2 linked regions of the Danio rerio genome follow. The protein of the gene in region 2 interacts with the protein of the main gene of each other region in a biochemical or structural test. Links are inferred from orthologs where the notes say so. Each region holds a gene or a part of one and is shown on either strand. Other genes may lie near its edges.

Region 1 (3,544 bases), on a different chromosome or scaffold from region 2:
TGTGTTTTTAAAAATGGCGGTTTCTTTGTTTTTATTCTTTTTTTTAATGTAAAAAAAAATAATGTATCACAAGAACAATAGCATACAAAAAATTAGGAATACAATGCTCACAATTATTTTTACATCAAAAGAACAAATCAATAGAGAATAAACAAAATAAAATAATGTAATAGCAGATTAACTTACAAAAACATCAGCTTTCTTTGTTTTCATACTCCTGTCTTGTTGCAGGAGCGAGTGAGGTATTTCTGTATATCAATAGTGTTCAGCTGCGTGTCTGGTTCTGCCTTTTGGTACCCTTTTTTTGTTATAAGGTACCCTTTGCAAAGGGTACCCAAAAAGTGGTACAGTTCACTTTTAGGTACTTTTTGACATAGGAAACGGATATAAAAGCATAACGAACTGAACCGATTTTCTGAGTTCTGATTTTGTCATACAAAGCAGTGCATGGGCTAGCACCTGACTACATTTGTGACCTGGTTTTATATATATATTACAACTACTTTTCTTTAATTTCAACATCATGTGTGTGCATGTGTGTTTTTTTTGTCTAACAGTATGGTTATCAAGATGAAGAGGAGCGCTCTTTAAACCTGGTGGAGAAGGGCAGATATCCCGCATCCTCCTCTCGTGTCAGGGGAAATCCTCCAGTTCCTCCATCTCTGGATAAGGATGATCAGCTTCTGCAGGATCTGATGACTCTCCTCCTTTCCTCTCCTGCACAGCCCAGCTCACGCCATCGTGTGGCAGCACCACACTCCACCTCATCTTTTTTCCAGGATCTGGACTTCCCGCTTGAATACAAGGATTATAACAAGGACACTTTTTCCCAGGATGAAAGGATCAGCAGCCAGCGAGAGCCAAAGAAAGGTCCCCAGAAGTATGGAAGCTTTTCTGCGCACAGCGGTGAGATAGTTTGTTGATGTTTATTGTAGCTTAAATGTACAGTATTTGCACAGCAAAAAATTACATTGGCAATAGTTGGCAAATCACTAGTTACTGTATTTTTTTATTACTTTTCAACTGAAATAAGTAAAGAGATTGCCTTTAATTAGTGTTTTGTTAATTTAATTACAGTTATACACTGTAAAAGTGCTGAATCCCTTTATGTTGTCCTAACACAGATTTATTAAGTTAACTGTTACAAATTAAAATGGATTAGAACCAATATTAATAATTCTGATTTAAACTATTAATGCACCTCAATTTTGCCCATACAGTATGTGGCATATATACGCATATATGCAGCTAATATATTATCATATATGTGCATATATACTGCATGTAGGTTTCATATGAGCAACAAATGTCATTTTTTTGAGTGGTTGTACTTATTGCTTTAAATACTGCATTTTTATGCATAAAGAAGAATATTTATCAAGACAGCTGAATAATGTGCACTCAAAAAAAAAAAAACTCATTGAATGAACTCAATTTAATTGAGGGCAGGATTTCCAATAAATTTGTTAAGCACAAACTAAAAAATTTTTTTTTAAACAATTAAATGGAATTGAGTTGATTTTATTAAATACAAGTTTAAATACATTTGTATTTTTGTTCAACTTAAACTCAAAGGTCTGATAATATCATGCGCTGTACGTCTATCATGTGTCGTACATTTTGAAGTTTTTTAGTTTTATTTGAAGTTATCCTAAGTAAACTAAAGAGCTATTTTAAAGCTTATTTCATGAGTTGCATATACAGTTGGTTGAGACTGATCTCAGAACTCATTTTAGGACAGTTACTGCTCACTGAGCAAAGCAACAAACTGCATTTTTGCTAATTAAGCTGCCAACACCCAAAGCATGTGTGCTTCTGCCAGGTGGTAAGTTTATTTATTTTTCAGAACATGGGACAGTGTACATTAATCAACCTTCTCAAAGAACGTAAAAGTACCCAAATGGGGTATATGCCGAGCTAGTGTGTTTCCCATACTGATAAACTTCCGGTGACCTGTTATTGTGAGGTTTTTTTTTTTTTCATTTTATACGGTTCATTTTACAGCATTGATGTTGTAATGTAATTCAAATTCAATCAGTTAAACAGACTTTGGCATTCATTTAGTTGCTCAAAATGAGACAAAAAGCCGCTTACTCGCACATGCCCGTCGAAATCGGCAGGCTAGCGCAGAAGCTCCATTGAATATACTGGGGAAAATAAAATGCTCATATTATAAAGACATGGCGGGGAAAATGTAATCTAATGCGGTGCTTCTTGTACAATCAATTTATAACAGATATCACTCAGCCAGTGGAGATGGCTGATTTTTAAAGAAAACAGACCTTAAACGCGCAGGTTTTGCATTAGCATACAACTCACCGGAAATTATTAACCCAGGTGACTGGCAAATTAAATGTCCTGTTAGCATGCTTCGGCATATACCCTATTACCCCAAAGACTAGTTTTAATTTTTCTGTAGTTCTTATTGTTGATTGATGAGCACTGTTCAATAAATAAAATAAATGACCTTTCAACTCTAACCAGCTGCAGGAACATCTCAACAAGGCCTAAATGAGCTGCTTCTGCAACATGGGTTTGATCTAAATCACCTGAACCCTGAGGAGATGGAGCGTCTCTTCTCTGTCCTTCAGTTCCTGCAAAATGAGCCACCAAATAATCAGAGAAAATGTGAGCACTCTGACATTTCCATAACATTTATTATTATTTAGATATAAATTGTTATTGTTGGCGCTCTGAAAATATGCTAATTTGGAATTGCTTGTTTTTCTTCATTCAGCTGAAGCCAAGGATTCCTCTGCGCCTCCAAAAGTGGTAAGCAGAAAGAAAATGTAGAACTGCTGTCGTTTAGTATTTCAGTTATGTTTCAAGGTTGGGTTGAGCTCAGTAGTAGTACTTTTTATTAACAGCAGGGGGCAGCAAGTATTAAAGAGATCGTTCACCAAAACGGAAAACTCTGTCTTTAACACAACCTTCTCTTGAAACTCAAACTTGAGTTTCTTTCTTCTGTTGAACACAAACGAATTCATGTTGACAAATCATGTAACCATTGACTTCCATAGTAGTTTTTTTTTCTGCTATGGGTGTCAGTGATAACCGTTTTGTAACATTATTCAAATTATCTTCTTTTTTGTTCAACATCAGAAACTCATGGTGAGTAAAAATATAGTGAGTAAATTACATTTTTGAGTGAACAATCCCTTTGATCTATAATTCTATGAAAACAAGTGGGGGAACTGTGAGCCATGACCATGTGTGATTTGTCATGTAGGTAATTTCTATTTAATCCAACGTTGATGTTTGTCTGTGCACAATATTTTAGGTTCTTTAGCACTTCAGCAACATGATTCTTACCTCCTTCTTTAGTCCCCTTTGCATAAATAACCACGGCTGGTTATAAAATTAACAGACTTTTCTTGATGGCCCATCTGACAGCATTTTAAAGAGAATACGAGCGAAGAAAAAAATAGTAGGATAAACATTCTGGGAGAGTCGCAGTTGCCAGAAGTCAGAGATAATCTGCAGACATGAGTCACATACTTTAGTGTACTACATACACTGAAAACAATGATTTATGCAAAATTGT
Region 2 (4,112 bases):
AGTGCTGGGGAGACATTTAAATACCACAACACTCACTGGACTCCACCAATGTAAACTCTGCCTGTGCCAATATTGCGTTTAAGTCAGTTTTGTTTAACTATTTGTAAATATGAAAATTAAGCACCAAGTAAAAAAACTGATATTTGTAGAAATATTTGTAAGCTGACCAAATTTACACTAAAATAGGAATCAGATATTAGGTTTCGATCCAGAAAAAATAAATCATTTGCATAAATAAATTTGACTAAACTATAATATTTTGTAGGAAGAATTAATTAAATTAAATGGTCATTAATTAAAATTTTTATTTATTGTCACTGTACAAAAATGTGTCATGATTCCACTTATTATATTTATCTTTTATTAATCACAGCTTTTCGCGTGTTTTTGCAATACAAATAATTTTTATTACCATGATTTTTGTTGTTTTTTAAATAATAAGATGATATATCCCCTTAAAATTTTAGACCATATCAACAAAAGTAACAAATCCAATATTTTGTAATATAATAATAATAATAATATTGCTGACAAATAAAATTTCTAATTAAGTGAATTACATTATTTAAAGATATTAAAGACTTTTATCTGCATTTTTTTCATGCTACCTACAATTTTTGCTTTTATTTTATAGTTTTTTTGTTTTATAGTCTACAAACTTCGACACAAAATTTGTGGGACTATTTATTAGACAATGTTTACATGTCAAAACGATTCTTTCAGGCCCACAAAATGCATACAATTTATATAATTTAGTTTGAAAAACGTGTTACATAGATTTACTCTTAGGTACGAGACTAATGAAAATAAAGTCGCAAAACAGATTCTTTCATTCATTCATTTTCTTTTCAGCTTAGTCGTTTTATTAATCTGGGTTCGCCGCAGCGGAATGAACCATCAACTTATCAAGCATATGTTTTATGCAGCGGATGACCTTCCAACCGCAACCCAGCGCTGGGAAACACCCATACACTCTTGCATTTACACCCACACGTACACTACGGCCAATTTATTCAAATCCCCTATAGCGCATGTGTTTGGACTGCGGGGAAACCAGAGCACCTGGAGGAAACCCACACCAACATGGGGAGAACATGCAAACTCTACACAGAAATGCCAACTGGCACAGCCGGGGCTCGAACCAGCAACAATCTTGCTGTGAGGCGACAGTGCTAACCACTGAGCCACCGTGCCGCCCAAAACAGAATCTTTACTAGGAAAAAAATAGTGGGGCTGGATTTTTACACTGACTGTGGTTTGCTATTGGTCAGTCACACTGAATGACACCTTGACTCCGCCTTCATGCCAGTGAACACCAATCAAAGAAGAAGAGCCACTGAAGTGGGCGTTATTTTGAAGAAAACTTGTATGAAATGTTATTTATTTAAAATTAAAAAAAATGTGCAAAGACAATAATTAATAATAAATATCGTACTAAAGTGTTTCAACACCGAACTAAAATATCATTCAAAATTAGAATTTTTGTATTGCAGAATATGGGTATTGCAAATCAGAGTTATTGATAGATGTTTAGGGGATAAATCAATCATTAGATAGATAAAAAATATATAAATAAAAAATAATACTGTGATTTCACCAAAAAAAAATGAAGTTAAAAAAGTACAGTAATACAGTACATCTGTTTATCTATTCCTCTTTTACTGTATTACTCCCATTCCTATTCAAATCATACCTGGTGTTTGGAGAAAATTGCTATTAGAGAAAAAAAAGTTATCTGCTTATTACCACAAAAAACCTTCAGTCATGCACATCACACATCTGTAAGTTTCATAACTTCAGTAAGGGGTTTCCAAACCTCTTATAAACCTGAATTATCTAATATGTCAAATGAGCCAATGTTTACAACATGAACAGTTAAAACTCAACACAATAAAACCTGAAACACCTCAAAGTTTCTATTTAGGCGTGTAAATTATGAACACATAAATAATTAATTATTCAAAAAACTTTGTTTTGATTAACGGTAAACTACAAAGGCCTACTGAATCCCCGCGGCTCGAGTGATTGACTTACCCTCCAGCGTGACCTCCTTCCCAGCCTTCTTCAGCGCCTGCACCGCCGCGTCGTGCGTAGCGTCGCGGAGGTCGCTGCCGTTGACGGACAGTATCGCGTCGCCCACACGCAGAGCTCGACTCTGATCCGCAGCTAAACCGGGGAAGATCTTTGATATTAGGATAGGCATACGGTTCTCCCGTCCCCCTTTAATGCTAATCCCCAGTCCGCCGGACTCCTGCTTGACTATCCGAACTCTGCGTACCCCCTCCGAGTCACAGTAACCGCTGGACTCCGAGTCCGACCCGGTCCCGTTAACGCGACCCGGGCTGTTGTCGTATTGCACGCGATTCGTAAACACATCCCGGTTCTGTTCGTTGCCATTGGAAACGCCGTTTTTCAGATGCGAATTGTGCTCCGGGTAACCCGCGGGCCCGCCCGGTTCTCCCTCCGCCGTGAGAGTGAGGTTGTCCCGCGTGAGCTCCGCTGACACCCGGACCCAGCGGTCGCTCAGCAGAAGGTCCAGATGACCCTGTTTCTCCGCGCGGGTCCACACGGCCATCATCAAACTTTAACTCATCCTAAAGTTTAAACTCGCTCGACACACCCACTCGCACGCACATTTCCCCTGAGGAAGGAAGAGGAGCGAAATTTTAATAATAAATCTGTTTAATAAGTTTAAACATTGGTATTTATTGCTGCAGCTCTCCGAGTTCGGGTTCTCACGGCACGGAGAAACTATTTAATTAAAAACACGCGCTGCTGCTTAGACCGGACGGCCGGAGAAAAGCGTTAGATTTGTATCTCATTGATTATTCATGAGAGGGGCGGGGATTGTCAACTTATTTATCTTTCCTCGCCGCACTAAAGCCACTAAAGCTGTACAGTGATTTAGAAACAAAGCGAAAATAATGGCGTAAAATTACTTCAGTGTCATCATTACTGTATGACTTTTGTTCTTATTATAATGCAGCTTTTAGTTGTAATAAGATAGATAGTAGGAAAACAAAGATAACTCTCTCATTAATAATTAATCAGATTCAAATCTTTATACGTTGAATAAGTTAATATCCAACAACAAATAATAATAATAGTTATTGTTAGTATTATAATTAATATAAAACAAAATAAATACGTTTTTAATATAAAATTTTAACTTGTCACTATTTCACAGACAGTTAAAAGACTATTGGTGAGCTAATTTAAGTTTTTATAAATAGATGGGATTATTAGTTAATTTTCATATTTACTGTTTTCATTTTAATAGAGAATTAAATTAAGCTTTAATAATCCTTCCATCCCGATACCATAAAGCAAAGTCCATTTTCATCTGTAGCTGAAGGGATTGAAGCTCTATTGTATTGAAGTCATGTGTTTGGTAAATCTGCTGGTCAATATAACACATAAGTGTTTTTGCCCAAAATAATATTGACTCGCAGTAAAAGATGTTGACTGTTCTCATTAGCTTCAAAGTGTTACTCATACTCTAAATGACTCACCTCAGCTTTAAAAAAAAACTCTAATACACAGCTTTATTTTATTTATCACAGTTGACAGAAAATTTATGTATGATAATTGTTTTTCCTTACACTAATTAATGTAGTCGTGTTGTTTTGAATTTGAGGGGGGAGGGGGGGGAGTATTCAAAATACAGTTTTGTGTAAGCGTTTGTGAATATGTTTATAGCACGAATATGGAAAAGAGGGAAAACTGATGAATCAACTGAGGATCATCAGGAACAACCATCACAAAGTAAAATAAATAAATAAGAACATAATTTCAGCTATTTTTCTGTCATGTAAACATCTTTGTTGTAAAATTTAGAATTGAAAAAAACAGCCTATGAACTCCTCAAAATGATTAATAAATTCAGAATTGCAGGAAGAAGAAAAAAACTAATTCAGAATTGTAATATAAACAAAGAAACATGAGATAGAAAAGTATCTCTGAACACACAACATGTCCAACCTTGAGGCGGATGGGCTACAGCAGCAGACAAACACACCGGGTGCCGCTCCTGTCAGCTACGAACAGGAAACTGAGGCTACAATTCACACAGGGTCACCAAAATTAAACAATAGAAGATTGGAGAAACGTTG

What was found.
Region 1: the proteins of sntb2 (region 2) and ptprnb form a complex in vitro, tested with the Homo sapiens proteins (2 studies listed by BioGRID and IntAct). The link is inferred for Danio rerio from reciprocal best matches to the Homo sapiens genes SNTB2 and PTPRN.

Annotation. Positions count from the first base shown.
Region 1 is NC_133181.1:14,913,420-14,916,963, forward strand, and holds part of ptprnb (receptor-type tyrosine-protein phosphatase-like N), read left to right. Parts: intron 1-557; coding exon 558-906; intron 907-2,484; coding exon 2,485-2,628; intron 2,629-2,737; coding exon 2,738-2,772; intron 2,773-3,544. UniProt on the Homo sapiens protein: Plays a role in vesicle-mediated secretory processes. Required for normal accumulation of secretory vesicles in hippocampus, pituitary and pancreatic islets.
Region 2 is NC_133200.1:37,489,187-37,493,298, reverse strand, and holds the start of sntb2 (beta-2-syntrophin), read right to left. Parts: upstream 2,834-4,112; 5' UTR 2,579-2,833; coding exon 2,035-2,578; intron 1-2,034. UniProt on the Homo sapiens protein: Adapter protein that binds to and probably organizes the subcellular localization of a variety of membrane proteins. May link various receptors to the actin cytoskeleton and the dystrophin glycoprotein complex.